Notamacropus eugenii: one gene and its partners. The protein of the gene in region 1 purifies or fractionates together with the protein of each later gene. This does not show direct contact. Links are inferred from orthologs where the notes say so. Each region holds a gene or a part of one and is shown in the gene's direction. Other genes may lie near its edges.

Region 1 (7,017 bases):
ATCACCATGGCTTACGTTTGGAAACCATATGTCTGTTAATGCTCATTTGAGTTTCTACATCACTTGAAGCAGTTATGAAAGGTCATCTACCATCACTTTGGGGGAAATCTGTCAGTATGTGGTTAGAAACTGACAGAGGGGAACTTAATTCAAAGGGAAAATAGATTTTTCCTAAGAGAGTGGTGGGAACGTGTACCGGTAAGAGAGATGGTTTCTGGAAATTTAATAATATTTGCGTTGTATCCTAGATGACACCTTGAGGTTTAACCAAAAAAGGAAGAGACTAGCACCTCTCACCAAATACTAAGATAAACTCCAAATGAATATATGGCTTAGACATAAGAGGCCCTATGGTTGTTTAATCATTTTCTGTTGTTTAATCTTTTCTTCCTGACCCCATTTGGGATTTTCCTTGGTAGAGATACTGGAGTGATTTGTCATTTCCTTCTCCAGATCATTTCAAGGACTAGGAAAATGAAGCAAACAGGGTTAAGTGACTTGTTCAGAGCCACACAGCTATTAAGTGTATGAGGTCATATTTGAAATCACCAAGATGAATCTTTCCTACTCCAAGACCAGCGCTCTAACCACTGCACCCCTAAGAGGCCCACAAAGGGGCAATGAAGAAAGTACCTTTAAGATCTATGAATAGTGGAAGAATTCATGCCCCCTCAGTGATAGAGAGAATTACAGAAAAAAATGAACAATTTTGATTATATATTAAAATTAAAAATATAAAATTAATGTAAAATATGAAAAATATAAAATTAAAAAGTTTACCTGCAGATTAGTCCAATGTAGTAAAAAGTAGAGGGCAAATAGGTAACTGGGGAAAAAAATCTTTGCACCAAATTTCTCTAATAAAGGTCCTATATCCAACGTATACAAGGAACTGATTCAAATTTTTAAGACTAAAAGATATTCATGAATAGATAAAGGGTCAAAAGGTACAAAGAGGTCATTTTCAGTTCAAGAAATATAACCTATCATCAACCCTGTGGAAAAAATGCTCAAAATCATTAATAATTAGAGAAAATTTAAATTCAAGAAACTTTGAGGTTCTACCTCATACCTCTCATGTTGGCCAATGTGACAAGAGAAGAAAATAACATATTGGAGATGCTATGGGAAAACATGTACAATACTGCCCTGTTGGTGGAGGTAGGAATCAGCTCAGCCATTCTGGAAAGCAATTTGGAACGATGCCCAGAAAGTTACTAGAATGTTCAGAACCCTTGACCTAGCTAAGCTACTACTAAGACTGTAACCTTGCCCTCTTCAGATTCAAAGAGGAAGAGATTCTCTCTGTACAAAAACATTTCTAGCAGCATTTTTCATGGGAGCCCTAAACTGGAAACTGAAAATGAAACTTTCAGAGAAAGCTGGGAAGACCTCTATGGACTGATGCAGAGTGAGGAGAGCAGAAGTAGGTCAACAATTTATACAGTGAAAACATTATCGAGTAAATTCATCTTCAAAGATTCTAGAACTCTAAGAAACCCCAACCAAAAGAATGAAGATGAGATGACTTATTCATCTCCTGCTATAGAAGTGATAAATTTAAGATGCAGAAAGAAACTTTTAGACATGGCTAATATAGGAATTTGTTTTGCTGGACTATGAAGCTATAGAATGAAGGCTTTTTTTTTTTGAGGCAATTGGGGTTAAGTGACTTGCCCAGGGTCATATAGCTAGTAAGTACCTGAGGCCCAATTTATACTCAGGCCTTTCTGACTCTAGCCATTGCACCAACTAGCTGCCCTCAAGATCTTTCTTTCCTGGGTCTTCAGGACCTCTGGCTGTAGTACCTGATGAGTCTCATCCCCACTCCCTTTTCTCCCTGAATGATGGCTGTAGAGGCTGGGCTGACAGCAGAGATAGTGGTAAGAGAGCCCACTACTGCCTTATCTGGACAACAGAGACAGCAGTAGGTGGTGGGGATGGAAGAGCCCTTCTCCACAAAGGTGGATGATGTATGTCAGATGAAAGCTGCTACAATTCCCAGGAATCTTGACTTCCAGCTCCTGGGCTCCTGGCTATCCTTTAGGAGGCTATGCCCCTTCAGCTTGGCTGGTCTGTCTGCCCAGCTATTGGCAGATGGTTGGGGTGGTGGGGATGGTGAGCCCCTTCTATGCAGGGCTTGCCCCCCTAAAATAGCTCTACCACAAGATGTTCCAGCTGATGGTGTCTAGAAGAGAGAAAAATACCTTTTCCTAACCTACCCTCTTTTCCTGGTGACCCTGGACAGCTCCCTCTCTGTTAGAACCACAGAGCTCCTAGTCATTGAAGTAGCTCCATGACTTGAACTTCCTGGAGTGTAGTCAATGGCCAAGCTGCCCTTACAGTTCCCAGCTTCATAAAGGAATAACAGGGTTTTTATATGGTCCTTTGAAAAAAACAAATACTCTCTTTTCTGCACCTTATTTTCTGTAATTCCATCAACTGTGTGCTATGGGGGAGGGAGTGGGGAGCAGGAAGAGGAAAGGGGGCAAATAGGAACCAATTTCCACCTTCCAGAAACACTAGCAGCCATTCTGGGGTCATGTTCACAGAATGAGAGTTTGGTACCTGGGTTCCCGGGACCACAGTGTCACAGATGCACACCTGGAAGATTCCTTAGAAACCATTAGAACATTCTTATTTTTCAGATGAAGAAACTGAGGACCAGAGATGGAAGTCTCTACCTGAGATCACATCAGGGATAAGTGATAAAGCTAGGATTTGAATTGGGGTTTTCTAACTCCAAATCCTGATAATAACAGAGTAGGCAAGTGAGAAATGATTTTTCATCTGTTTAATCATTCATCATAGATTTAGACATAGATTAGGGGTTATAGGGGTCAACTAACCTAATGCCCTGGATTTGCAAATGAGGAAACTCAGGGATCAGAGAAATTGTGACTTGCCCAAGGTGAGGCAGGTAGAAAGTGGCAGGGGTGAAATTTGAACTCAGGTCTTCAGACTCCAAATCCAGCTTTTAGTTTCTGGAAGGGGCCCTCATTTTAAAGTTGAAGAAACTGAGGAACAGAAAGGTCAAAGTGAATTCCCTAAGGTCTCACAGATAGTATCTCACCTAGAGGGTAGTTAGGTGGCTTTGTGGTTAGAGTGCTGGGACTGGAGCCCAGAAGTCTTGAGTTCAAAATCCAGTTTCAGACACATCCTAGCTGTGTGACCCTGGGCAAGTCACTTAATCTCTGTTTGCCTCAGTTTCTTCATTTGTAAAATGAGGGTAATAATAACCCCTAGCTCCCAGGGTTGTTTGGAGAATCAAACAAGATTATATTTGTAAAGCATTTAGCACAGTGTAAGTACCACATAATATTAACTATTATTATTATTATAATTTAGAAGTCATAGACATAGTCATAGCCATGGTAGCAAGGAGCACAGTTGGTATTTGAACTACTGTTTTACAGATTAAAAGTTGAAAGCTACTTCAAAGGGCATTTAATCTGTCTTCCTCATTTAGGTGACTCATCCCAAGTCACGTATGTAATAAACTGCAAAGTTAGGATGGCATGGGGCTTGGTAAACAGTTAAAGCTTAATAAATGCTCTTTTCCTTATTCATTCGTAATAGGTTTAGAGCAGAAAGAAACCCTGAGGGTTAACTTCTTCATTTTACAGATGAGGAAACTGAGGCAGTGAAGAGCAAACTGGATTGCATTTGAATCCAGTTCCCCTTTCTCCAAATGCCATAAGAGGGACCACAAAGGGCAGACAAGATGAGGTCAGTTCAGGGAAGGAGATTCAAAGGAGAGTTTCTGCATTTAGAAACGGGGAAGCCCTGACTCATTCTGGGGGCTCCTGGGGTACGGGTGGGGATCACACCTTGCCAGCTCCAGTCAATTCTCCTTCCTCCTCACAGCCCCACCAGAAGCCCTTTCCCAGGGAGAAGTCTGACAGACTTTATCACTTTAGGGATTTCCATCCTTACAGCTGAGTTTTATTTCTGCCTCCAGTAGGGAAACAGCTCGGAAGGGAAAGTGAAACTGAAGAAATGTTCCATTTGCAAAGTAGAGTTTCAATTTCCAGAGCTGCGAGTCTCTGAGTCCACCCTTTGTGTTATGCTAATCAGGTGCGGGCAGATAAAAGGACAGTCATAGGCTGTCACAGAATCAGTGGCTGAGCAGGGAGAGAGGAGGCAGCCCCCAAAGCCCGAGCTCCAGCCTGAGCAGACCTGCAGCCATGGTAAGGTGGGAGCCCCTCGGTGCATCATCCCTCTGGGTCTCAGTTTCCCCTTTCTCCCCATTGTGAAGTTGGTTATCTCCCTCCTCCTCTATCCTCCCTAATCCTTTCCTGCTTTGTTCCTCCTTTCTTCTAACAGGGAACAACAGAGAGGTCTATCACCTCCTTCCCCAGCCCCTGATCTTCCTCTTGAGCGGAGGTGTTATTCATCCCTTCCCTGTTCTCCAGGGACCAGAATGTTCACTGCAGTCCATCTGAGTCTCCATTTCAGTTGTTCAGGCCTCACTTTGGCCAAGTCCTCCTAGGTTTCTCTGAATTCGAGCTTTGGCTTTCTCATCAATAAAATGAGGATAAGAATGCTTGACCTAGCCTTCCACTTGCAGGAGGGAGGACACTGATGGTTTGAGGGATCTTGTACACACACCTCAGTTTCTTTTTCTGGAAAATGGAATTAGACTCAGTGACCTCTGCCATCCCTTCCAGGTTTGAACCTATGCATGTCTATATGCAAGACAAGTAGTGTTGAGGGTCCTATCCAGATTTCAAGCTGGAAGGGACTTTAGAGGTTATCTGCTTCAAGCACTTTATGTTACAGAAGAGGAAACTCAGATTCAAACAAATTCTTACCTGTATAAGAGCGCAAAAGTACTAAGTAGTAAGGGTGGGATTAAAACTCAAGACTTTGGACTCCAAAGCCAGCATTTTCCACTGCACCTGCTGCCTGAGAAGTATAGAGACAGCCACTGCAATTGCTTCTGTCATTTTCTCTTTCCTCTTCTCTCTCTGTCTCTCTCTCTCCCCTTCTTTGCTCTCTTTCTTTCCCCTCCTCCCTCTCCTTCTTCCTCCCCTCCTCCCCTCTCTCCTTTTCTGTCTCTCTCCTCTCTCCCCTCCCTCCTTTTCCTCTCCTTTCCCCTCTCTCTTTCTCTCTCTCCTCTCTTCCCCTCCCTTCACCCTCCTCTCTCTCCCTCTTTCTCCCCCTCTCTCCTCCCCTCCCCTTTCTCCCTCTCTCTCTTTTTCTCCCCTCTCTACTCCCTTCTTTTTCTCCCCCTCTCTCCTTCTCTTTCTCCCTTCCTTCTTCCCCCTCCTCTCTCTCCTCTCTTTCTCTCCTTCTCTCTCCTCTACCCCTCTCTCCTTCTCTCTCTCTTCTCCCTCTCTGTCCTATCCCCTCTCCCTTCTCTCTCCCTTCCTTCCCCTTCCTTCTCTCCCGCTCTCTGTCTTTGTCTTCTCTCTCTACCTCCCTCTCTCTTCCCCCCTTTCTCTTTTCCTCTCCCTCCCTCCCTTCGTCCTCCTCTCCCTGTCTCTCCTCTCTTCCCCTACCTTCCTTCCTCCCCTCCCTTCTCTCTCCCCACTTCCTTTCCTCCCCCCTCTCTCTTTCTGTCTTTTTCTCCCTCCCTCTCTCCTCTCTCTCTCTCCCCTACTTCCTTTGCTCCCTCATCTCTCTCTCTCTCACTCTTGCTCTGCCCTAGATAAAGTAGGATAGAACAGGTCAGGGTAGGTTAAGCTTACTAGCCTGGGCTGGGCTAGGCTAGGTTAAGATCGGTTACGATACTACAGGTTACTATCGAATGCTGTCCCAGACCTTAGAGCCTACCTTATCCAAGCCCTTTATTTTATAGATGAGGAAAGGGGCACCAGGAGACCTGAAGTAATTTCAGCAAAGTCACATAGGGAGGGAAGTGAGATCTGAACCTTGGGTCCCTCACTCCAAAGCCAGGACACTTTTGAGGAGCTATCACTGAACTCTTCTGTGCAGAGTCCCATGCACCAGCATCCCCTACCACTGTGCTCCTCCCTAACCCACAGAAGGGAGAGGGGCCAGATAACTCCAAGGCAAGATGTGGCTGTGTGTAGCTGTGTGTGTGTGAGACAGAGATAGAGAGACAAAGAGAAAGAAAGAGAGACACAGAAACAGAGAGACACAAAGACAGAGAGAGAAAGAGACAGAGAGATACCGAGACAGAGGAAGATTGAAATCTAAGGTTCCTATAATTCCTCCTCCAGGTTGGGGAGCAGCCTGATAAGGACAGAGTAACTTAAAGAGAAGCCTCAGCCTCCATTCCCATTTCCACTTTCCCCAGGATGTGACAAGGGGATCCCAGGGTTTTAGGTTTAGGGTTGGGAGAGAGCCCGGAGACCTTCTAGTTCTATTTTACAGAGAAGACAGAAGCCTGAAGAGGAAAAGGGCTCAATGACAAGAGATAGTTCACACTTCCAGAGTACATCAAGGTTTGCAAAGAACTTTACAAAGGTCATTTCATTTTACATTTGTAACATCCTTGGCAGGTAGGTGCTATTATGACCCTCATGTTACAGATGTAGAAACTGAGGCTGAGAGCTTTCCCCCCAAAAGATCACACAGCTAAATAAGCCACTGAGGCTGGATTTGAACTTCGGTCTTCTAGCTTCTCTACCCACTGCCCCACCCATCTGCCTACATCACTTTAGATCCCCCAGGTAGTAAGTGACAAAGGCAGGAAATTCATGTTATCTGACTTCAAATCTGGTCTCCTTCTCTAAGCTTCAGTTTTCTCCTCTGTAAAAGGGGGCTACCCCCTCCCAGGGCTGGAAGTGCTTGAGCCTCAAACATGGCCTGGTTTCTCTTGCAGGGCATGCATCTGAAGGTGAAGATGATCACTGGGGTGGAATACCTAGTGAAGGCAGAAGGCCACATCACTGTCATGGAGCTGAAGAAACGTATTGCTCTGCAGACTGGAGAGCCAGCATATGCCCATCGTCTGGCCACAGAAGGCGGAGAGCTACTGCTAAATGGGAAACTCCTCTCCCAATACGAGTTGAGGCCTGGAGATATTCTGCTGATGATGGTGGAGAA
Region 2 (6,944 bases), on another chromosome or scaffold:
CGTGTACACACACACACACACACACACACACACAAATACAGGGGAGAGTGAGAGAATCCAAATCCAAGTAAACAAAAGCTCTTTGGGAGGTCCTCAATAATTATTAAGACTATAAAGGGGTCCTGAGACCAAAATTTTTTGAGAATTGCTGTGCTGCATGTTATAAAGTTCAATGGAAAATGAGTTATTATAAGAGCACATTTCCTAGATCAGTGTTCAGGCTAAGATAGATTTCCTCTTGGATGCTACCAGAGAGAACCTCGCTAACCCATGAGCCCAGACCTTGAAGACAGTCTTATCCTGAAGTTTCTTGAGCCCACAATGTGGGGAAACAGTTTGGAGGAGCTGGGACCTGAGCCTGCAGAGGGCACAAGTTCTCTTTCCCTAGAATTTAAAAACAAGAGGCTGATATTTATTTGAACCTTTTGATCAGTGTTTGTTTTTCCACCCCTCCTTCCCTTCCTCTTTGGCATCTACCTGCCTAAAGTTTGTAAATTCGTGGGAAGATGCCGTTCTGTTTATACTGACTTCAAAGAATTTTATTTTCTGGGATTCTCCCCACTGAAGCTGAAGGGGTTGTTTATAATTTGGACACCGCCACAATTCAATTTAATTTAACAAACACTGAGAAATGGTGTCACCTCTTGGTAGGCAGGAAACAAAGGCCAGCAGGATTTCAGAACTGGAGTCATTTAAAAATAACAGTATTTTTTTTTTTTTATTAAAAGTTTACTCATCAATAAACATAAATATTTCCAATACAGAGAATAAAAAAATGCATCTCATTCTCTTTTTTGCAAAACTGAAGGACCATGGGTGTGGAATACTGCATGTACAACCAGACATAGTGGATATATGGACTGGTTTGGATGAAATACATTTTTTTCCTCATTCATTTTTAATCTTTGTTACAAGGGACAGAAGGGAGATATTTGGAAATAAAGACAAATGATAATAATAAAAATAAGATAGAGAGAGATGGAGGAAAAGAGAGACAGAGAGAGGGAGACAGAGAGACAGAGAGAGATACACACACACAGACACACAGAGACAGAAAAGGACAGAGACACAGAGAGAGACAGAGAGGGAGGCGTTTGTAGAGTGAGCAGCTTAGAATCACCAAAACTCTGCTTCCACTGACATCGTTGCAGTCATGGTGTAGATTGTTTTCCTGGTTCTGCTGACTTCATACAGCATCAGTTCCCACACATCTTTCCATGTTTCCCTAAATTCCTCACTTTCATTGTATTCATGTGACATAATTTGTTTATCTGTTACCTCATTGAAAAAGCCTAGTATTCTCCAAGTAAGGCTGGTTAGCATCACAAAATCCCAAAGGACAGATCAGAGAAGTGAGACATCATCCTCATCAAATGCTTTTATTAAGCACCTACTGTTTGCCTGGCACTGAGCTAACACTGGGAATCCAAGGAAGGGCAAAAACATAGGTCCCCCCGCCCCCGAAATTCACAGTCTAATGAGAATAATATGCAAAGAGCTATGTACAAATGAGATGTGTACAGTGTCTAAATAGAACATAGCAATTGTAATGGGGAAAGACCCCTTGTAGAAGATGGGATTGTGTTTAGTCTCGAAGGAAGCCTGGCATCGAGGAAGGGGGGCATTTCAAGCTATCCAATTGGGGATAGATAGTAAAAAGTCCCAAAGAGGGGAGATGTATATGGAGAAAGCCACCTGTAGCATATGTGGGTGGCAGTAAAGTGTAAGAAGACTGGGAAGATTAGAAGAGGCCAGATTTTAATGGGCTTTAAAAACCAAACAGAAGATTTTGTATTCAATGGTGGAAGTAATAGGGAACCACTGGCTTCCTATTTGTTGAGGAGAGGGCATGACTTGGTCAGATTTAAACACTAGGAAGATGATTTTGGTGGCTGAATGGAGGACATACTATAGTGGGGAGAGATCTGATGAAGGGAGACCCAGTCAGAGGCTCTTGTCTAGGCATGAGGTGATGAGGGCCTGCCTCAGGGTGGGGGCTATGTGATAGAAATGGAGAAAAGGGGACATCTATGAGAGATGTGGGAACAGAAACAAAAAGATGTGGTAACAAATCGGACATGTGGGGTGAGTGTGGGAGCTGCATGGAGGATGAGTCCAAGATTGGGAGCCTAGGTGACTAGGAGGGTGGTGTGGGTACAATTAGCAGGAAATTGTGAAGAGGAGGGAGTTTGAGGGAGATATAATGGCTTCTGTTTTGGATAGGTTGAGTGTGAGATGTCTACAAGACATGTAGTTGAAGGCAGTTGATGATGGAAGCTGGGTGGTCCGGAGAGAGAGACGGATAAATAAATCCAAGAATCATCCACACAGAGATGATAATTGAATTCATGGGAGCTGAGGGACTCGCTAAAATGACATAGACAGAAAGAAGAGGGCCCAAGATAGAGCCTTGAGGGACACCTACCAATAGTGGGCACCACCTCCATGAAGATCCAGGCAAGGGGACTGAAAAGAAGCTGTCAGACAAGTGGGAGGAGAACCAGGAAAGAAGAGTGTCTTAAAAACCCAGAAAGAAGATAGCACCAAGAAGAGGGTGCTCCAAAGTGTCAGAGGCTCCAAAAAGTTACAGAATGAAGAAGACTGAGATTAGAAATGCCTGATGCCTTTGGAGAGGGAAAGTTGAACGATAAGGTTGGAAGGGCCTTTAAAGGTCGTTCAGTCCAACTGCTTCATTTTACAGATGAGGAAACTGAGGTACAAAGTGGTTAAGTCAGGAGCTGAAATGTCCTTTGTGAATAACATGGATTGCCAGCTGGGACTAGAGACCAGGTGTCCAGACTCCTATATAGGATGACCTTAGACAAGTCACTTAATCTCTCTAGGTGAGATTTAAATCTTTGTATTTGAGGAATTGATTCCCATGCCTCCCTCCCCTCCCCCTTCTAAACAGTTTGCTTTTACTCCCAGGCAAGAATGTAAACTTGAGGACTGAAGCGGTTCAGCTTCGGGTTTTCTTATCTCTAGCACCCAGCTTAGAATTTGGTATTTAGAAGATGCTTAATAAAGCTTCTAGAATGAAGGAAGGATCCCTAGCGCCCAGCCCCATACGTAGTAAGGTTAGAGATTGGAGAGGTGATTTCTTTTAAATTAGGGAACTCCCTCTACAAATGCAGGCTATTTTTAGAGCGTGGCCCGCTGCACTGAGAGGTGAAGGAGCTAGCCCAGAGTCACGCAGACACAGTGTCAGAGGCAGGCCTTCTCTAACCAACACACCACACTGCCTCTCACATCGAAGGCAATGAAAGCTTGTTGGACCCATAAATGGAGTGAATAGGCAGAATTGACACACAGGCGCTGGCACACAGTAGGAGAATAAATGAAGTGAACTGACAGTACTTGGCACAGGGCCTGGCACACAGTAGGAGAATAAATGAAGTGAACTGACAGTACTTGGCACAGGGCCTGGCACACAGTACGTACGTGTTTGTTGAATGAATAAATGAAGGAGAAAACTGCATTTAACAAAGGCAGAGATCGGGGTTAAGAAGTGCAGTGGGCTTACATTCATGCCTCTAAGATTTCGGATCTCCTGAGTAGCAAAGTCTGACTCAGACCAGCTCACCTGGCGGCCTCGCCTCCCCGTTTGGTTCCGTTTTTGGCTTGGCACTGGCATCCCTAAAGCCTGGCACACAGGAGGCGTTCAGTACGTGCTGGATGGAGGGCCCGATTGGTCTCCGCCGGGGCAGGGCCATCCACCACGCCAGCAGGTAGCCAGCTAGCGGGGTGCCCAGCAGGCGGAGGGTCGGGATCCCGGGTTCGGCCGCGGCAGGCAGCAGGGAGCCGGCCCGGCCGGCAGAGGGACACCGCGAGCCAGCGCAGCCAAGGGCCGGAGGGGCGGAGAGGAGGAGGGGCCGAGCTCAGCCGCCGGGGAGGGCCGGCGCAGGCGCGGGGCCAGGCAGGGCGCACGGCCGGGGCTGCGGGGCAGCAGAGAGCGCCGAGAGCGGAGCGGAGCGGAGCCCCGAGCCGAGCCGAGCCGAGCCGAGCCTGAGCAGCCGCAGCAGCCCCAGCATCCGCCGCCGAGATGCCCGTGACCGAGAAGGACCTGGCCGAGGACGCGCCGTGGAAGAAGATCCAGCAGAACACGTTCACGCGCTGGTGCAACGAGCACCTCAAGTGCGTCAACAAGCGCATCGGGAACCTGCAGACGGACCTGAGCGACGGGCTGCGGCTGATCGCGCTGCTCGAGGTGCTGAGCCAGAAGCGCATGTACCGCAAGTTCCACCAGCGGCCTACCTTCCGCCAGATGCAGCTGGAGAACGTGTCCGTGGCGCTCGAGTTCCTGGAGCTGGAGAGCATCAAGCTGGTGTCCATCGGTCAGTGCCCGGGGCCGGCCGCCCCCCACTCCTGGCCCCCCATCCCCTGCCCCCCTCTTCTGCCCCGCATCCCCTGCCCCCCCTCTCCTGCCCCCATCCCCTGCTCCTCTCCTTCTCCCCATCCCTTTCACCTCTCCTCCCACCTTTCACCCGAAATCCCTTCCCTTTCCCCTCTTCCACCCCCATTCCTTTCTCCTCTCCTCCCCCACATCCCCTGTCTCTCCTCCTCTTCTACCCCCCGGCCCCCATCCCCTTCCTCTCTCTTTTCCTCCCCCTGCTCCGTGTGGATTTCGCGCTCCTGGGTGAGGGGAGCTATTACCCAGTGTGTGTGCAGGAATTCCCCCGGTGCTCCTCTTCTGAATTTGCTTTTGAGAGTGAGTCTAGCCTTTGATCCCCCTTAGCTCCCTTGGGGCCGAGGGGCTGGCCTTTACCTCCGTACTGAGTTTTATTTTTTCCCCGGGGCGGGGGGCGTGTAACATGTACCCTTTTCCTGAGCTCACTTTTTTTGGGGGGTGGGGGGGGAATCCAGCTAGTGCTCCTTCCCGGAGCTGGAGGGAGAAGGGAAGATCTCCGTTCCATTTCTTAGTTTCCTTACCTGGAACTAGAGGGGCTGAGAGCGGAGAGGGGGCGTTTATTGAGTGGATCGAGGGTGCTGGGTGGTGGGTGAGGGAAGGAAGCTGTTGGGCTGTCCAACTGGAGTGTGGTGAGGGGCATAGCCACGGGACTATTTCCACAGTCTGGTTACCGTCAGCGGCTGGAAAGGGACCTCCCTGAGGGGTACTCCCCACAGGGGAGTCTGTGGCCCTCTGTACCTGCACCTGCTGGGGCAGGTTAACTGGCCCAGACTAGGCTTGTGCTTGTGCTCACACCCATTTCCCTCGGGAATAGCCCAGCTGGACTGACTCCCGGCTTGGGTACAATTGCTCTGCCTAGGAGAAAGGCCGTCCTCTTGTTTAGGGGCAGGTAGCATGGTGCCAGAGAGCAGCTGGGGTCCAATTCCAGCCCTTGCTGACTTTCTGATCTAAGCCAATCCAAGGCGTTAAAGCTTCAGTTTCCTTCTCTGTGAAACCGAAGCCCCTTATATTTCTCAGGTGAGGGCTGGGGGTGGGAGTGGGGATCCACTGGCCCCCTGAGGGTGGGGAGGGAAACCAGAGGATCTGTCTATGCTTTGGAACCAGACGGGAATCTTGTCCTGGGGCTTAGCTGAGCTCACCTGGGCCTTCTGCTCCATCTGGAATCACCCAGGATGAGCCTGAAAGTCCCCTGCCTGTCCTGAGGAAAGTGGAGAGAAATGCCTTCAGTCATTTTAAAGTATTTCTTCTGGAATTGTGTTTTGCTTTAAGATTGGTTGGAAGGAGAGGTGTGGATCTCTGTTATTCCCGGTCCTCTCCCTTTTAAACAACTCCCAAAACAACTCCAAGGAAAAAAAAGGAACAAGAAACCAAGAGAGCCTGGAGTTGAAAATTCTGGAAGCTGGGTTGGGCATTAAAAAAAATTGTTGAATTTCAGGAATGTTATTTCCCAGGATCATTCTGTGGAAGAAGGATCCACCCTTAGTAACATCTGACGTTAAGTGCTAGGTGCCCACTACGTCTCATTTTGGCCATAGCCTTTGGTATGCCAAGAGTGGCCAACCATGGATATTTTGAATACTGCTCTTGAACTCAACAGATGAGAATCCTTGTCTCTACTGTTAGATGTTAGTCAGTTACAGGACCTTTGGACAAGCTGGATCTGTTTTCTCCATCTGTAAAATGGGATTAATAATCCTTTGGCACTATCCTACTGCCGGGTTTCTTGAGAATTTGTAAGCTGAAAGTACTGTAAAGTGTGAATAGGTTTTACTAAAACCCTATATATACTGTTTTCACTATTAGAACTGTGTATGTCTCTCTCTCTCTGCTTAGAGAAACTGTCCTAGAGAGTGGGCTCTCCTGCCCATTTGTGGCCAATAGGTGGTGCAGTAGATAGGGTGCTGATCCTGGAGGTAGAAAGATCTGAGCTGAGTATAAATCCTGCCCTAGACACTTCCTAGCCGTGTGTCCCTGGGCAAGTCACTTAATCTCTTTCAGGCCAGCGCTTAGCACACAGCTCCTGGCACATCATAGGGGTTTAATAAATGCCACTTGACTCAATGACTCAAGTTTCCTCAGCTGTAAAATGAAGATAAACTATCACTGACTTGTAGGGCTGTTTTGAGGATCAGTGTATTAAGTGCTCTGCAGACTTTAAAGCAGGGCATCAAAGATAATAAATGGTAGCACTTAATGTTGTCTTTGTTACCACCTCGTATCCTAGCCCTGGTTTGGTGCTCAGTTCTGCTTCTGTTTTCATCCATAGCTCCACGAGCAAAAGGACTGGCATGGGAGGTATAGGATTATGGATTTCGAGCCATAAGGGCACAAAGTTTGGCCCACCTTTATTTCACATTTGAGGAAAACAGCCACGAGAGGTAGTGAGTGGTCAAGTGGTGCAGATTGGAGTAGGTTCTCTGTAGTTTTACCCTGTATACTCCTTCCACAGAGTAGGGACTTACTAACTTTTTGTTGATTAAGTAACAAAAGTAGCAGATTTATTTCCAGTTGTCTGTCTACTGAAGGTTTAAAATAT
Region 3 (7,943 bases), on another chromosome or scaffold:
AGGGTTTTTTTTTCCCTTGGATGGATTCATGACTCATGTGGGCCCTCCCTCAGGGTATATGCCATCTTCCCCTGCTGGACCCTTGGTCACCATCTCTCAGTCTTTGTAAATCTCCAGCAGGTGGGTGCTTCCTCTGGAGCGCTGGGTGCCTGGGCAGCCCCGAGCTTGTTACAGGGCCCGAGGATCTCAGACATAGAACTGGAAGCGACTTTAGACCCACGAAGGCCCACTCCTCAATTGTGGCTCAGCCCACTGCCTTTCTTGGGTCCCCTGCGATGTTCTTGGCAACGCTTCTCACACAGAAATTGTCGTTAGTATTTGGATCACCTGCCACTCATAAAATGGCGGGGGGGGGGCGGGGAGGGGGGAGCCGGCACGACAATATTACCATCAGATCAATAATTCTTATCCTGCAGGAGAAGGCATAATGGGGCCTGGCCCCAGGGACCTTGACTGTGGACACAGTAGTTTCTCCTAAACCTTCTGGGGTCATCAGGGACAATTTGAAATATTCGTTTCCTGCCCCCCCCCCCCAATTCTCCTCCCTACTCACACCCACTCTAGTCAGGGGTGGGGGTTGGTACAGCCTCCCCGACCAAGTGATCCAATCTGCACGCTTCTTCCCCACTGCCCTCCCCAGCCCAGTAGTAGGTGGTAGGGTGACTGTGCCTTTGTTTTCCTAAGGAAATCCTTTAGAGCTGAGCTGCCTTTTTCTCAAAAACAAAACAAAATAATTTTTTGAAAACCACAGTTTTAAGATCTCTTCTTCCTTGGAGATATTAGGATCAGAAAGCCAGAGTCCTGAGGTCTTCTAGACCAAGTCCAGCATTTTACAGATGAGGGAACTGAGGCCCAAAACAGGGGACTTATGTGCCCAGGTCACTCAGGGAAAGGGTCAGAAGTGGAATTGGAACCCAAGTCCTCCGTTTCCAAAAGCCTATGCTTGCTCTCCACTGCACCACACTGCCTCTACATAGTAGAATGTTTCAGCCCAATCAAGAGGTCTTAGAGATCATTTAGTCCAATCTCCTCAGTTTACATAAGGCAACTTGATGTTGGGAAAAATGTAATTGACTTCAAAGAGAGCTTTGAACTTAGAGTAGAGCTAGATACTGGGACCAAGAGAGAGCAAGTGACCTACTCAGGGTCCCACAGTATGGTTGTGGTATTAGTGACAAAGCTGGAACTCATGCATTAGTCTCCTGACTCCCAATTGAGGGCTCTCTCCTATAAAATATATTATAATCATCATGTGATAGAGACTGGCCCTGTAATTTCATTGGAGAGCTTCACCTGGGGAACTCCCAGGTGAAGAAAGTCTCTCCACCAATGCAGAACACCACCTTCTTTAAAATATATAGTCTTGGTTTCCTAGAGATTAAATAACTTGCTCAGGGTCACACAGCCAGGATGTGTTAGAGGGAAGATATGAATCCAGATCTTCCTGGTCCCTAGGCCAGCTCTCTACCCAATCCTCCAAACTGCTAATAATTGATAATAATAGTAATAGTAGACACTGTTAACATTGATTCTTTATGAACTCTTGAGTCTCACAGCAACCCTAGGTAAGCAGTGCTACTAGTATCCCATTTTTGAGTTGAAGAAACTGAGGCTCAGATAGGCTGTTTACTACTGTGTAACCTTAGGAAAGTCGTGTAACCCTCCTGAGTCTATTCCAAACATGCCCAGCACCTTCTCTGCCCAGAACACTTTTCATCTTAGAGCAGCCCAGTCTCTAAAAGGAGATAAGGATGTGAAAAGGACTCAGAAGGATGAAGCAGGGCAGGGAGATACATCAGGAGGTTTAAGATGAGAGACCAAGCCCTGGGCTAGGTGGGGAATGGGGACCACCAAGTTCTGCCATGGGAGTTGTTTGCTGCCTGCTCAGTCCTTGTATTCTTGTCTTGAGTGCTACCCTCCCACCCCCAGGGCCTGATAGAGTAGGAAAAGCAAATCTAGGCTTATAGGATCAGAGAATTTAGAGCTGGGAAGTCATCACATCAGTCAGATCAGCTTAGAGTTTAACCTAGTCTAAACTGTTCATTGCACTGGTGAGGGGAAGTGATTTACCCAGGAGCATACAGTTAGTAAATGACAGAGCTGAAATACCTACCCACTTCTCCCTCCTGGTCCAACACCCTTGCTGCTGCTACCGGAGCTTTCTTCCCAATTCTGTCATTGTCACAGTGTGACCTTGGGCAAGTTCCTTTCTTCCTCTTGACCTCAGTTTCTTCCTCTGTAAAATGAGAGGTTGGAGCAGATGACTCTAAGCTGGTTGGACTGATGACTTCATGGTATATGGACAGACTGTTCCATGGCAGGCAGATACAAAGGGTAGCTGGCCTTGGAGATTCATGTCCCTCCAAGTTCACTCCTCAGAGTTGAGCATGACCCCAGTGCTTGTTCCCTATGGCTTTACTTCCTCAAGGTTCTAGTTCTGAGCTGATCCCCTTGGCTGCCTGAGATATCCTTCCTCTTTTTAGTCATAGTTTTCTCTTTAATGGCCCTTCTCCCTTTCTCTAAATGTCCTTTTTACTCTCTCCCTCTTGGGCTGCAGCCCACGTCTAGAACCTGGCTACACTTTGTGTCTTATTCTTGATGGCAGAGAGCAGTGAGTACTGACCAAGGAGAATTCTCAAGGAAGAACTCACCTACTATAACCAGGGATTTAGGAAGTGATTGGAACAAATCTGTCTTTGGTTAAGATATCACTGATTCAAGGAGGTTGTGGGGAGAGGGCGTGAGTATGCAGGGATGGGACGGATGGGAGAAAGGAGAGACAGATTCAGGGATACAGACTCTTGTTTTAAATCCCAGTTTCACCACTGACAGCTGTGTGACCTTCCCCTGGTTTCCAGACCTTTCTAAGGGTGGGGACAGTTCTAAAGTACAAGGGGAGGGGATGATGAAAGGAGATTTAACCTGTCAAGTTGTTTGGAGCCCACACCCACAGAACACAGCTGGCATTTGTCAAGAGTTATAAAAGACTTTGAGATTCTAACTCCTCAAAGCTTCCTCCTCCCAATGAGGAGAGACTCCCAGACCCCACCCAAGGACTAGGTGAACAGGGAAGATTGACATTCCTTGTGGTTTCTGATCTCACCTATTTTTCAGAAAACATGGTTGGGTGGGGCTTGGGAGGACCAAGAGTCAAGCTGCATAGAAGCAGATCAGAATTCCTCAGCCCTCCATCCCTACTATTTCCCATCCCTAGAGGATTGGGGAAAAGAGAAAGCAGGAGAAGAGGAGGTTGCCCAATGGAAACATGAAGGCATCCACAAACATATTCATCCATTGTTTAAAGATTCCAGGGCTCACCTCTTCTACCCCTTCAACTTAACCGGGTCTGATGCTGAGCCCAGCCCTGCCCCTGGCTGGAGTAACCTGTTGGTGGGAGGAGAGAGTCAGTGGGAACAATTCAGATAGAAGAATCCTGCTTGGATTATTTTGTTCTATCTCTTTGGATTAGCCTTGTTTTCCTAAATTGGAAACTGTGGGGCAGCGGGGAGATGAGGGCAGGGTGAGCTGTGTATATTTTCAACTCTTCGGCTCTCTTTCTTCCAGATTGCTCAAAGCACTTTATAGGTGTGATCTCACCAGCCTTGACCCAGCCCCCTTGGGAACGGACCTGGTGTGGGTTTCAATCATCTGTCTCATCTCTGAGCTTGGAGCCTTTTACGGGCTTGAGCTCACTCATTCTATTTCTCCAGTTCTCCTTGACCTAGGGGTGGGATGGGGGTGGGGAGACACTGATGAGTAATAGAAACAAAGATTTAGATCTCACATAGAGCTTAGAGGTCACCAGATCATAGAATCGTAACTAGCTGGAGGGGACTTCTGAGGTCATTTAGTTCAAACCCCTCATTTTAGATATGAGGAAACTGAGACCCCAAAGAGTTAGGGGGTGGGGCAGACTGGAGCCCTTCACAGCAGCTTAGCTTAAGTAATGAAAGTGACTTCAGAGGCTGTCTGTCTGTTTTACAAATGAGGAAACTGAGGTCTGAGGCGGTGAATGACTTGCCCAGGGTTACACAGGTATTGTTTCAGAGGTGAGATCTGAACATCAGGTTTTAAAGAGTTCTTTCTATAGTGTCCACAGAGGACAAATTAAGGTTTTGAAAGACAGAAGACTTTGTGCTACCCAGCCTGGAAGATGAAGAGGGTGATGTATCCTCAGTGTCTCTTTGATAGAGTCCCAGTCCCTGCCCCACCTCTTCAAGCTATTTTATACTGGGATGTTTGCTATGCTTCACAAATAACTGCCCCAAGAATAGATCTTGGGGGTCCCCAGTTTCCCAACCTCCCTGTGAAGTGGGAGATCAACGTGTGTGTGCCTGTTGTTGGGAATTAGGGTTATATCACAGAGACAGCCCTAGCTAAGAGCTAACTCAAGCCTGGGCAAAGGACCCCCCTGGCGTGGGGGCTAAGGACAGGAGATGGACAGGGTCAGGACATGAGTGCAGAGGAGAGACAGGAGAGGAAATACCCTTGCAGAGAAAGGGAGGGGGAGGGGAGAATAGAAAAAAGCATTTGAGACCTAAAGCTGAGATTTTTCAAGATATTGTACCAATAAGACAGTCCTATGTCTTTCTCACTCCCCACCCCCAGCCCCTAGCTGTAGGGTCAGCTTTGTACTGCCCTCCTCCCCAAGTATCCTCTTGTCAGGGTGAATGCTTAGAGTTAGGAGTAACATGGTTCTGCTTTTGAAAATGTACAATAGATGACCTTAGGGGAGTAGCTGACTCCTAGAGTTTCAGCTTCCTCATCAGCAAAATGGGAGCAAGGGCTTTAAGGGCTCTTCCAGCTCTAAACTTCATGAACCTACAAGTTTGCTGGTTCAAGGCCCTGTTCTGTGTGTCCTTGGCAAAGTTGCAACCCTTTCTGGGCAATGGGGAGAGGCATCTCTTTGAGGGGGTGTCATAGATAGGGAGAGGGGCAATCCAGTCACACCTTGTTCCCTGGGACACCCAGCTAAAGTCGTACTCTCTGTACCCTGGGCAGTCTTGGCCCAAGTACATAAGAAAGGGGGGATGATGAAGGAGATTCTCTTCTCCACCCCCCATCCCCCTCGTCCCTCAGTCTCTCACCACCTTCCCCTCTTTCTTCCTTCATTTTCCAGAAAGATGAGTGAAGGTTCGAGGTCTGGGGCAGGGCTTGGGCTTGTTCTCCCTCCCTCTTTTCCTTTTCTCTCTCCCTCCCCAAGGAATCTAAGGGGGTGGACGTTGTCCTAGCCCGGCCCCCCTGCTCCCGCCCCCCCAGGCTTTCTGCCCCAGTGTAATTACCATTAATAGAGTCTTGAGACAGTCTTCTAAAAATAACTGGCTCTGGCTCTTTATAACCGGGGCCAGCCCAGCCTAGACACTCAGTCCCAGAGCTCCAGGGGAGAGTTGTAGGTCCTGAGCATTACCCACCCAACACTAAGAATTCAGCATGACTGAGAGACGAGTTCCCTTCACCTTTCTGCGAAACCCCAGCTGGGACCCCTTCAGGGATTGGTACCCAGCCGGCAGCCGCCTCTTCGACCAGTCCTTTGGACTGCCCCGCCTTCCAGAAGACTGGTATCAATGGCCCAGCCACACCAGTTGGCCAGGCTATGTCCGGCTGCTGCCCAGCCCTGTGGCCGAGCAGGTTCCCGCTGCTGCTGCTGCTGGGCCCCTGGCACCCCCACCCGCTGCCGGCCAGGCCTTTAGCAGAGCACTCAGCAGGCAGCTGAGCCGAGGGATGTCAGAGATCCAGCAGACAGCTGACCGTTGGCGAGTAACCCTGGATGTCAACCACTTTGCCCCTGAGGAGCTGACTGTGAAGACCAAGGATGGCGTGGTAGAAATCACTGGTGAGTAGACATCCCAGCCCCTTGTCCCATTTCTCCATATTGCCCCTGAACTTTATTGTCTACCCAGGGCAGCCCAGTTTGGGGGGGCAGGGGTAGGGGAATGTTAGTCCTGGCTATGGGCCAAGGGGAAGGGAGAGTTGGGGGGCAGAACAGGCATTCCTCCTGGGCCTTCAGAGGGAGAACATTGAACATGCTATCAGCTCCTGGCTGTCTTGGGATAGGGCAGGGCATGAGGGGCTGGATACCCCAGACCCTGGGCCAGGGGTTCTCATCCTGGGGCAGGAGGTGATGGGTTAATCAGAGGGCCTTAGTCAGAGGCTCCTCCTAGCATCCTTCCCTCATACCTTCATCCTGAAGAAAGTTGGCACACGCTGTTCTCTCTCCCAGCCTGGACTTGCAGAGAGAAAACATGTTTATTGCTGCTGCACATGAGGGAGGAAGGAACCTAGATGGGACTTGGCTCAGAAACCTTTCCCCCCAAATACCAGACCCAAACTCCACCCCTAGGCCCCCTACAGGGCTGAGCCCCATTCCTTTGGCAGATTGTCATTCTTTCCACGTTAAACATTAGTAGAAAAGTGCCTACTGTGTCCCAGACACCGTACTGAGAACTGGAGATACAAGGGAAGGTGAAACCCCACTTTGCCTCTGTGCTCAGCCATCTTCCTACCTTTGGAACCTTCTGATCCTGTCTGTCCAGAGCCATGGAGCCATTTAAGCTCCCATGCCCAACTCCCACCTCTCAGCCTTAGAGGCTGGGGCTGCTTCCAGCCCTTTACTGAGGACTTCAGAGAAAGCTTCATGCCCCTCTTCAAAAAGCTCCCTGGCACTTGGATGGCCACACCTACCTCTACCACTTCAGGACAGTGCACTAAATGTGGAGGTTTCCCATATCCCCTCTCCCACAAGAACTCACTCAAGAGAAGGGAAATCACAAAGGATTATGGAAAACCACTGCATCTTCAGTCAGAGGTTCAGAGTTCAAAAGTCTGGCTCTGCCATTTACTGTGTAATCTTGGAAAGAGTCATTTCCTTTCCCTGGGCTTCTATTTCCTCTTCTATTAAATAATGGTCTCTAATGGAATTCTGAGAGAACAGCTGGGGGGAGGGTGGATGGTATTAATGTGTGTCTCCCAGAGGCCCCCAGTCTTCATTTGTTTCTCTCCCATCTCCCCCAGGCAAACATGAGGAAAGACAAGATGAGCATGGATTCATCTCCAGATGTTTTACTAGGAAATACACGTGAGTATTGGGAGAGGGGGCTGGCCCTTGGAGAGAGGTCTCCAATTCTCAGTCATAGCCCCTTGTATTCCCTCCATGCCTACTTACCCCTCCTGTATCCACCCCCCCACCCCCCCACCTCACCCCCCACACAGACCCACTCCAGACAGACGGCAGGATCTGGTAGCAATTGTCTGGGTCTGAAGTCTCAGTGTGTGCCCAGTCCTTTGTTCTCCTGTACAAGCAGAAGGAAGTTTGCTTCTTGACCCAAGAATAGAAGGAAAGCCTGGTGGTGAACTTGGAGGTCAGAAAGACCTGAATTCAAATCTCACTTTTGCCACTTGTTAGCTAGATGACCCCCCCAAAATTATTTGACTTGAACCTTTGTTTCATGAACTTTAAGAAGAGGTGAGTGGGCTAGAATCCCTGAAAAGTCCCTTTTAGCTGTAAAACTATGATCTGTATGAGTATAAATGGATCCCTATGACAGGAATGGAGGTTTATTGCTAGAGATGGGCACACAGATGTCAAGATTGAGGGCTTATTGTTGGTGACTAGAGCAGTTCAGTGCTAGGGCTAAGGGCTCAGGGGCAACAACCACGCCCCTCCCCCCCAAAAAGCTCCATATATTAAGAGTCTAGAGAGGCAGCGTGTCCTACCTGACAGAGAGCAAACCTTGAAGCCAGAAAGAACCCCTCCTCCAACACATGCTGGCTATGTGACCCTGGGTAAATCACTTAATTTCTCAATGTATTAGGTAACTCTAAAACTTTAAGGTTCAGAGAAGGGGTCAGCCTAAATTATTAGGTGTTTCTTTACCCAGAAGTTCCTATATCAAGGAAATCCCAAATCCAGTCTCTAACCCTCTAAATGTCTATGATATACAAAA
Region 4 (7,161 bases), about 14 Mb from region 1:
AACAAAATACATTGTATTGCAAAGGACCCCAATTAGATTGAAATACAATTATCAAAATGTTAAAACAACAACAACAACAACAACAAATTCATAGGCCCCAGAATAAAACACATTATCCAAAATGCTTTTGTACTGGAGAAGAGGAATTCCATTTAATTACTGCCAAAAGACCATTCAGCCTTTAATCTGATCTTGTGAGTTTTCCCCCCCCCTTTGAGTCTTGGATGAATCCAGCGTGTGCTTCAGGGTGGGGTGTGTCCCACTCTCAGGCACTGACTGAGATGAGATGCAGAGGGGTTTAGTAAGAAGAATATGCAGCACCCTCTAGATTGCAGACGAGATTTGAGGACTTCTCTAATCTTTAACACTTTAACAACGGAGGACCGTGGAGTGAGAGTGTGATTGGAAACTTTGTTATGGCTCAGAGTGTGGTATAAGTATCTAAGAAACTTGCAACTGTAGCTGTCTAGAGCGCATTGTATTTTGTATTGTTTCCTGCTGGAATTAACTGGCTCTGACAGGGTAGGATTCCTTGTATCTTACCTTGATGTCTCTACCACCTCACCCCACCACCCCGCCTCTCTGTCTCTCTGTCACTCTGTCTCTGTCTCTGTCTCTCTCTCTCTGTCTCTCTGTCACTCTGTCTCTGTCTCTGTCTCTCTCTCTCTGTCTCTGTCTCTCTCTGTCTCTCTCTCTCTCTCTCTGTCTCTCTCTCTGGAGGCACTATAAAAGGAGAAAGGAATTTTAAAATCACCTCAGCATGGGCCCCTAGGGCTTGCTTTGAGCACAGGAGAAATAATAAGTCTTCAGTTTCCTGAAGCCTGAGTGAACAAGGCATCCAGGCAGCTGCAAAGATGACTTGCTGAGTCATGGGGCTGGGATGTTATTTTTTAACAAGGGCAGACATTTCAGCATCTTGCTGCTACAACCACAAATTCTGCTTTTTAAAAAATCAGCTTGCATAACCTTTCTGGCCTTTGCTAAATGTAAAAACCATTTATTTGGTCTTAATTCTCCAATCTTTCTGGGGTCCTGCATCTCAGGCTGGATTATTTTATTTGCCAGATGGACAGGGGATATTGTTCACCTTTTAAGCCTTCATCTCAATGTGCCCATGGGCTTGGAAGTGCACATTCTACAGGGAAATTATTCCATTTCCAGGTCTTACCTTTTACAAAGTTCATTAATCTTCACGGAGGATTGATTTCATGGGAGTCTTAGGAATAGAAAACCGTGGCTGGCCCTAAACTGCAAAATCGCAGACTCATCCATAGAGTTTTAAGGTTGGGAGGGACTTGAGAACATCTAGTCTGACACACCAATGACTGAGAACAGCAAACTGAGTCACAGAAAGAGGAAATTGTTAACAGAAAGTTAGTAGCAAAGTGGCATATGCCAACTACAGAGAACCAACTCATTTTTTCCACTACCTCAGACTGACCCTCAAAGTCAGATTAAAAGGTCAATGCATTTGACAAAAGCAGCAAACATATAAGTACCTAAATTGAGGCATGGTTGATCCCCAAGCAATGGATTGAGAGGTAGAGGACCAGATTTGACTCACCTCCAAACTATGTGACCCTGGGTGAGTCATTTAGCCCTTGAGCCTCAGTTTCTGACTTATAAAGTGGGACAATACCAGCATCGTTTAACGGAGGGCATTGTGTTTGGGAAGGAGGGGAACTCTGTAAACCTCACACAATTATAGATATATGAGCTATTATCCTGACTATCTGCAGAGCCCTGTGGGGTCTGATATTGGGCATGAGAAAAGTTTCAAAGAGGTTCCCTCCCTACCATCCTTGTCATTGACTCCTGAGTGTCCACACCAGCTCCTAGTTTTCTTACTTCTTTTTTTCTTTGCTTTTTTAAAAATTTATTTATTTATTTTTAGTTTTCAACATTCATTTCCACAAGGCTTCTCCTTTTTAAAAGTACATTTTACTGATGGCTTTGATCTCAGTCATTAGAGATAGGGGAGAGAGTTCCTCTACCCTACCCAATCCTTCTAGATTAAGTAATTTCTTTCTTAATCCCCTTCCCTTTTGAGAGGCACTGTGCTGAAATAGAGTTCGGAACCTGTGGTCAGGAAGCCCTCAGACTCTTCTCTATCTGTGTAATGCTGCTTAAGTCACTAAACCTTTCAGGCCTTCAGTCTCCTCATCTGCAAAATGGGGGCATTGAACTTCATGGCCACTTAGGTCCCTTCTAACTCTGAATCTATGATCCTTTGTTCACCTCCATTTGACTGAAACTGTCTTGAAGACAAACCCCGCTTTCTTGATCTTTTTCTTAGCTTTCTGCCTCATTTCTTACCATAGCCTTAATCACTGAATGTGTGTTGCCTCAGTGAAACAGACCTGATAAAGACCTTAGCTTAAAAAGGCCAATGTCCCCCACTATATCCTGCACCATCTCTAGTTGTCCTGACTGATATCTGGCCACTGGATCCAGATGGCTCCAGGGCAGAAAGTGAGGCCAGTGACTTTGCACAGCCCTGTCTCAAATCTGATTCACTTGCATATCGGGGCATCACCTCCATAATGTCACAGTCCTCTTTGAGAAAGTATAAATGATGACAACCTTTTCTTGACTGCTCTGGTACCTGACACTGTCAACCCCCCTATTCCCCTTCTGCTCCTTGAAATACCTTTTTTCCCATTAGTAATAAAGTGCTTATGCTTGCTCACCTAATAAGTGGTATGGTGCCACTTATTAGAAAGAACATGAGGAGTCCTCTGGAGTCAGAGACTTGCGTGTCCCTTCTATTACTTCCTGCCTCTGTGTGACCCAGAGCAAGTTACTAAAGCTCTCTAAACCTGTTTCCTCCTCTATAAAATGAGGGTATTGGGTTAGATGACCTTTAAGGTCCTTTCCAACTCTAAATCTATGATCCTCAAGGATCTTATAGTCTAGGAGACTTGTCTCCTTTCCTCTATCCATTTCCTTGTACCTCATACCATGGTGGCCATCTCTAGTCATCCTAATCTATATCTTGCCACTGGACCCAGATGACTCTAGAGGAAAAAGTGAGGCTGGTGATTTTGCCGAGCCCTCCCTCACTTAAATCCAGTTCACTTGCATGACATGACATCACCTCTCTGATATCATGGTCCTCTTCAAGAACAAAGGCCAACAACCATACTTACTTATGTGGACATGTTACATCCTCACTCTTCCATTTAAGAGCCAGAGGGAGATGGTGCTGCTTTTTACTTTTATAGACCTCTCCTTTGCTGAGCATAAGGTATTACAAGTATTTAGGGTTAGATCGACAGGTTAGCCAGTCCTGCTGTCCTCTGCCTTGTTCAGACTACTACTGAAGTAGTATATTCATTTCTGGGCACCTCCTTTTAAGGAAGGATGTTGATAAGAGATGGCAGCAGATAGAGCTAGCCTCCAAGTCCAGGAGACCTGGGTTCAAGTTGACTCTCTGACATATACTTCTTAACAAGGAGGACAGTTATGGCAAAGAGTGGCTTCCTCTTTATCTCCCCTAGAGGGGAAGAGTACTGATAGTTGAGTTGTTGAATTCTCTCCATTTTTTTTCTTCATTTTACGGTAGTTAAAAATGGAGGGCCAGCAAGTGGCAAAGTAAATAGAATAACAATCCTGGACCTGAGTTCAAATTTGACCCCCAACACTTGACTCTTACTAGCTGTGTGACTCAGGACAAGTCACTTAACTTCTCCAGGCTCTAGCTGGGCAACTCTCTATCAAGTGCCAACCTTCGCTGGAAGATGGCAGTTTTCTCACCGCAGAGTTCTCTATACTTGTGAAACTACCTGTCCCATACCTACCCCTAGAGAAAATCTGGATATTGTGCCAAGGGGTACTGTCAGGGTCTTGAAATTCCTTGAGCTCAGAGGACCAGTTTGAAAAAACTTGGGTGTTCAGCGCAGAAGAGTGGAGGTGGGGAGGGAAGAGACAGCATTTGAAAATGGGTGCAGATTCACTTCCTTGGCCCCATGGGAGCCAAGCAGCAACGAGCTACAAGAAGGCAAGTCCAGGTTTCCTGGAAGAAAACAGACAATAAGAGCTGTGAAAAGGCAGAACGGCAGTCCGTCAGTCAGTAAACGCTTATTAAACCCCACGTGTTTGACCACGTGCCAGGCAAGGTGCGGGGGGGGGGGGGGCCCACAAAGACCTTGCCCTCAGGGGGCTCACCCTCTAAAGCGGGAGACCACGTGCAAGCGCCCTTCCCGGCAAGGACGGGTGACCATCTATTGGTGGAAGAGGAGAACCCTGCGCGGATACAGGTTGGATTTGGAAAGACACCGAGATGTAGCTCAAGTCAGAACTTGTCATGAGCCGATGGCACTCAAAGAATTCCAGGGTCAGCCCGGAGTAGGGGTGGGGTGGCGGAGAAGAGAGAAGAGCTCTTAGAACTGCTCTACGCCCTGCAGGGGGCGGGCCAGCGAGGAGTGGGCATCTCCTTCCTTCGTCCTTGCCGCTGCGCACGCGCGAGCCTCTTTCCTTTTCTCCCGCCCCTCCCCCCTGACTCGGGAACGCGAGCGCGGTCAGTGCTACGTTCGTTCAGTCACGCAGCACTGCAGCTCTCGCCCGTAGCTGCTGCGCCTGCGCACCCCATCCAACGGCTTCTCGGGAGGCGGGGTTCTAAGGGGCCGGGGTTTTTCCATTGCCACAATGAATCACTGGTGCGTTCTAAAGGACCAGCAGTAATTCCACCCAAGAAGGCCCCGCACGAGCTGCAGTAATACTCCTGTCAGTCAGTCCCTTTCCTGGCCCTCGCTTGGAGGACAAAGTGGGTCGACCTCCCCCCAGAGAATGAGGGAACTGAGTTTGGGGGTTTTTTGGGGGGATGGGGAGATTGTAGAAATTTAAATAGCCCAGGGCGAGAGCGAGCTGGCCTAACGGTTTGGCGGCTGCGCAGGCGCAGACAGCACCAACTAGAAGCGGGGGAGCATGGGTGGGGGGAGAAGTAAGAGGGAGGAAGAGGGCCACTGTCTCTGGAGAGCTGGTGGACATTTTAAAGAATAAGCCGGGGGACTGAGATCGTGCGGGACGAAGAGTGCGTGAGATCGAAGGCCGACCCCTCCCCCCAAGAAACCCCCTTTCCCCGCCCTATCTCTGTGGGAGGGACAAGGCTGGAAGCGGCTCCCGTTGCTACCGCAGCCCCGCCCTGCCCGTGGGCTCTCCTACCCAATCAGGAGGCCAGCGGCGAGAGGGACGGCGCGCTCCGCCAATGGAGGAGGGAACACGCAGCCGGTGGCGCTAGGGGATAAGACAAATAGGAGAAGGGGGAGGCGGTGCTTGATCCCACCCCCTCCAGCCTAGACCGGAAGTCTGGAGGGAGGAGGTGGCACCGCTAGGGGAGCGAGGAGGAAAAGGAGGAGGAGCCACTGGAGGAGAAGGAGGGGTTCCCTGGGGTGAGCTCGCCCATTTAACGCTCCCTCTTGGTGTAGGTAGACCCCTCGGCCTGTGTTCTCTGAGCTCAGCGGAGGAAGCCCCATCCAGGTAAAGGGGACCCTGCAGACCTGGGCCGTCACCCCTGCTAGGGTTCTCAGCAGCCGGGGGGCAGGGGTGGAAGGGGGTCTCGGCCCCTCCGGGGTCGCCCGAGCCGGCCCCCATCACCCTCCCCGTGGACCGCTGTGGCTCCCACTGCCCGAGCCGAAGGGCTGCAGCCTTTGGGCCCTTGAGTCCTGAGTCGGACAACTTTCTGCCTCGAGGAGAGGACTTTAGAGGTTATTTGGGCTCCACCCCCCCCCCTTTTTTTTTAGAAAGTAGCAAATTGCGGCCGGTAGCAATGCTGTGCCTCCTCACTCAAGGTCACCCAGATGGAGGGGGCCTGGGTAGAGATTTAGTGGGGTGGCTTTGCGGGGATGTGGGTAAGTAGATAAGATGCTTGCGGGAGTGAACAAATTTTCCCTTGCAGTTTGGGGGAGAAACAAATCCCCGGTATTTTATCTACAAGGCGCACGACGATTTATTTCTCTCGGGGAGGTGGACTTTAAATGAACATGTGTCTCTCGGAGAGATTTCTTGTAATCCCTGTAGGATTTGGAATGGAGTAATTCCTTAAGGTGGTCCTAATTTCTCAGAGTAATCGTTCAGAGAGATTTGAAAGGGACTCAATGGAAAGGAATAAATTACACAACAGTTTGGGTAATTGTGCTGGTTTATCAGTAGCAAGTGCCCATCTTTGGGGGGAAGTAGGAAAGGGGTGTGATCTTTTTTTCTAAATATAGCTCATAAATGTAGCCATGTCCCTCACTTTACAGATAAGGAAACTAAGGCCCTGAGAAGTTCAAGTGACTAAATTTAAATAGAGGCAGGAAAAAGATGATGGATCCCTTTTTGGCAGTTCCTTTCCCCCCCTTTTAAGCTTTTATTCTGTGTACTGAAACAGGTCTTTTCAGATGCAGATTCTTGCTGCCTCATGGTCTGTGAAACCAGTCCCTTTCCTAAAATGGAGGAAGGGGCTGTGAATAGGATGCCCCTCCCCCAGTGGCTTCTTAGTCTAGAATGTTACAGTGATTGGAGCTTGCTCAATGAGTGCATTTCAGTGGTTTGGTGTCCCCGCTAGATTGCTTTGAAAATGTACTGTAAATGGAGTGAAATTAGAACTGCAAGTAATGATGTCTATTTTTGACCAAATTACACTAACCAGAATGCCTCATCTTAGAGGGCTGGAATGTATACAATTTATATCAGAAGGACCTTTTTATTTTTTCCCCTCTTGTAAAACCATTCTCATCTGCCAGGAAAGGACCTCTTAAAATGCCCATAGTTTCCTAATCACTGTTTTCCTCCAGAATATATTCTTGTTTAGTCTTAGTGGCAAACTTTCATCCCTGGCTCACAAGTTAGGCCATGACTGCCTACTGTACTACTTTGGTACATGGGTCAATCCAGAGATAAAAAGCAAATCACAAGAACTATGTGTGTTCTAAAATGGTTCTCCATCTAGTAGATCATTTTACTGAAAAACAGTAAGTACAAATGCCCCTTACAGCACCTAAGATAACTGTGGTTATTCAACCATGTCTGACTCTGTGATCCCATTTGGTGATCTCTTGGCAAAGATATTGAGTGGTTTGCCATTTCATTCTCCAGCTCTCATTTTACATATGAGGAAACTAAGGCAAACAGGGTTAAGTGACTTGCTCAGGGTCACACAGCTAGTGTCTGATTGTCAAG

The links.
Region 2: the proteins of ISG15 (region 1) and FLNB purify together in Homo sapiens (affinity purification with mass spectrometry; 3 studies listed by BioGRID and IntAct, with this or other methods). This does not show direct contact. The link is inferred for Notamacropus eugenii from reciprocal best matches to the Homo sapiens genes ISG15 and FLNB.
Region 3: the proteins of ISG15 (region 1) and HSPB1 purify together in Homo sapiens (affinity purification with mass spectrometry; 3 studies listed by BioGRID, with this or other methods). This does not show direct contact. The link is inferred for Notamacropus eugenii from reciprocal best matches to the Homo sapiens genes ISG15 and HSPB1.
Region 4: the proteins of ISG15 (region 1) and ENO1 purify together in Homo sapiens (affinity purification with mass spectrometry; 4 studies listed by BioGRID, with this or other methods). This does not show direct contact. The link is inferred for Notamacropus eugenii from reciprocal best matches to the Homo sapiens genes ISG15 and ENO1.

What each region holds. Positions count from the first base shown.
Region 1 is NC_092876.1:33,694,608-33,701,624, forward strand, and holds the start of ISG15 (ubiquitin-like protein ISG15), read left to right. Parts: upstream 1-4,010; 5' UTR 4,011-4,187; coding exon 4,188-4,190; intron 4,191-6,793; coding exon 6,794-7,017.
Region 2 is NC_092874.1:467,304,115-467,311,058, reverse strand, and holds the start of FLNB (filamin-B), read left to right. Parts: upstream 1-3,944; 5' UTR 3,945-4,042; coding exon 4,043-4,334; intron 4,335-6,944. UniProt on the Homo sapiens protein: Connects cell membrane constituents to the actin cytoskeleton. May promote orthogonal branching of actin filaments and links actin filaments to membrane glycoproteins. Anchors various transmembrane proteins to the actin cytoskeleton.
Region 3 is NC_092873.1:51,267,721-51,275,663, forward strand, and holds the start of HSPB1 (heat shock protein beta-1), read left to right. Parts: upstream 1-4,938; 5' UTR 4,939-5,430; coding exon 5,431-5,833; intron 5,834-6,177; exon of another isoform or gene 6,178-6,819; intron 6,820-7,011; coding exon 7,012-7,075; intron 7,076-7,943. UniProt on the Homo sapiens protein: Small heat shock protein which functions as a molecular chaperone probably maintaining denatured proteins in a folding-competent state. Plays a role in stress resistance and actin organization.
Region 4 is NC_092876.1:47,730,773-47,737,933, reverse strand, and holds the start of ENO1 (alpha-enolase), read left to right. Parts: upstream 1-4,141; 5' UTR 4,142-4,259; intron 4,260-4,476; exon of another isoform or gene 4,477-5,032; intron 5,033-5,204; exon of another isoform or gene 5,205-5,426; 5' UTR 5,427-5,478; intron 5,479-7,161. UniProt on the Homo sapiens protein: Glycolytic enzyme the catalyzes the conversion of 2-phosphoglycerate to phosphoenolpyruvate. In addition to glycolysis, involved in various processes such as growth control, hypoxia tolerance and allergic responses.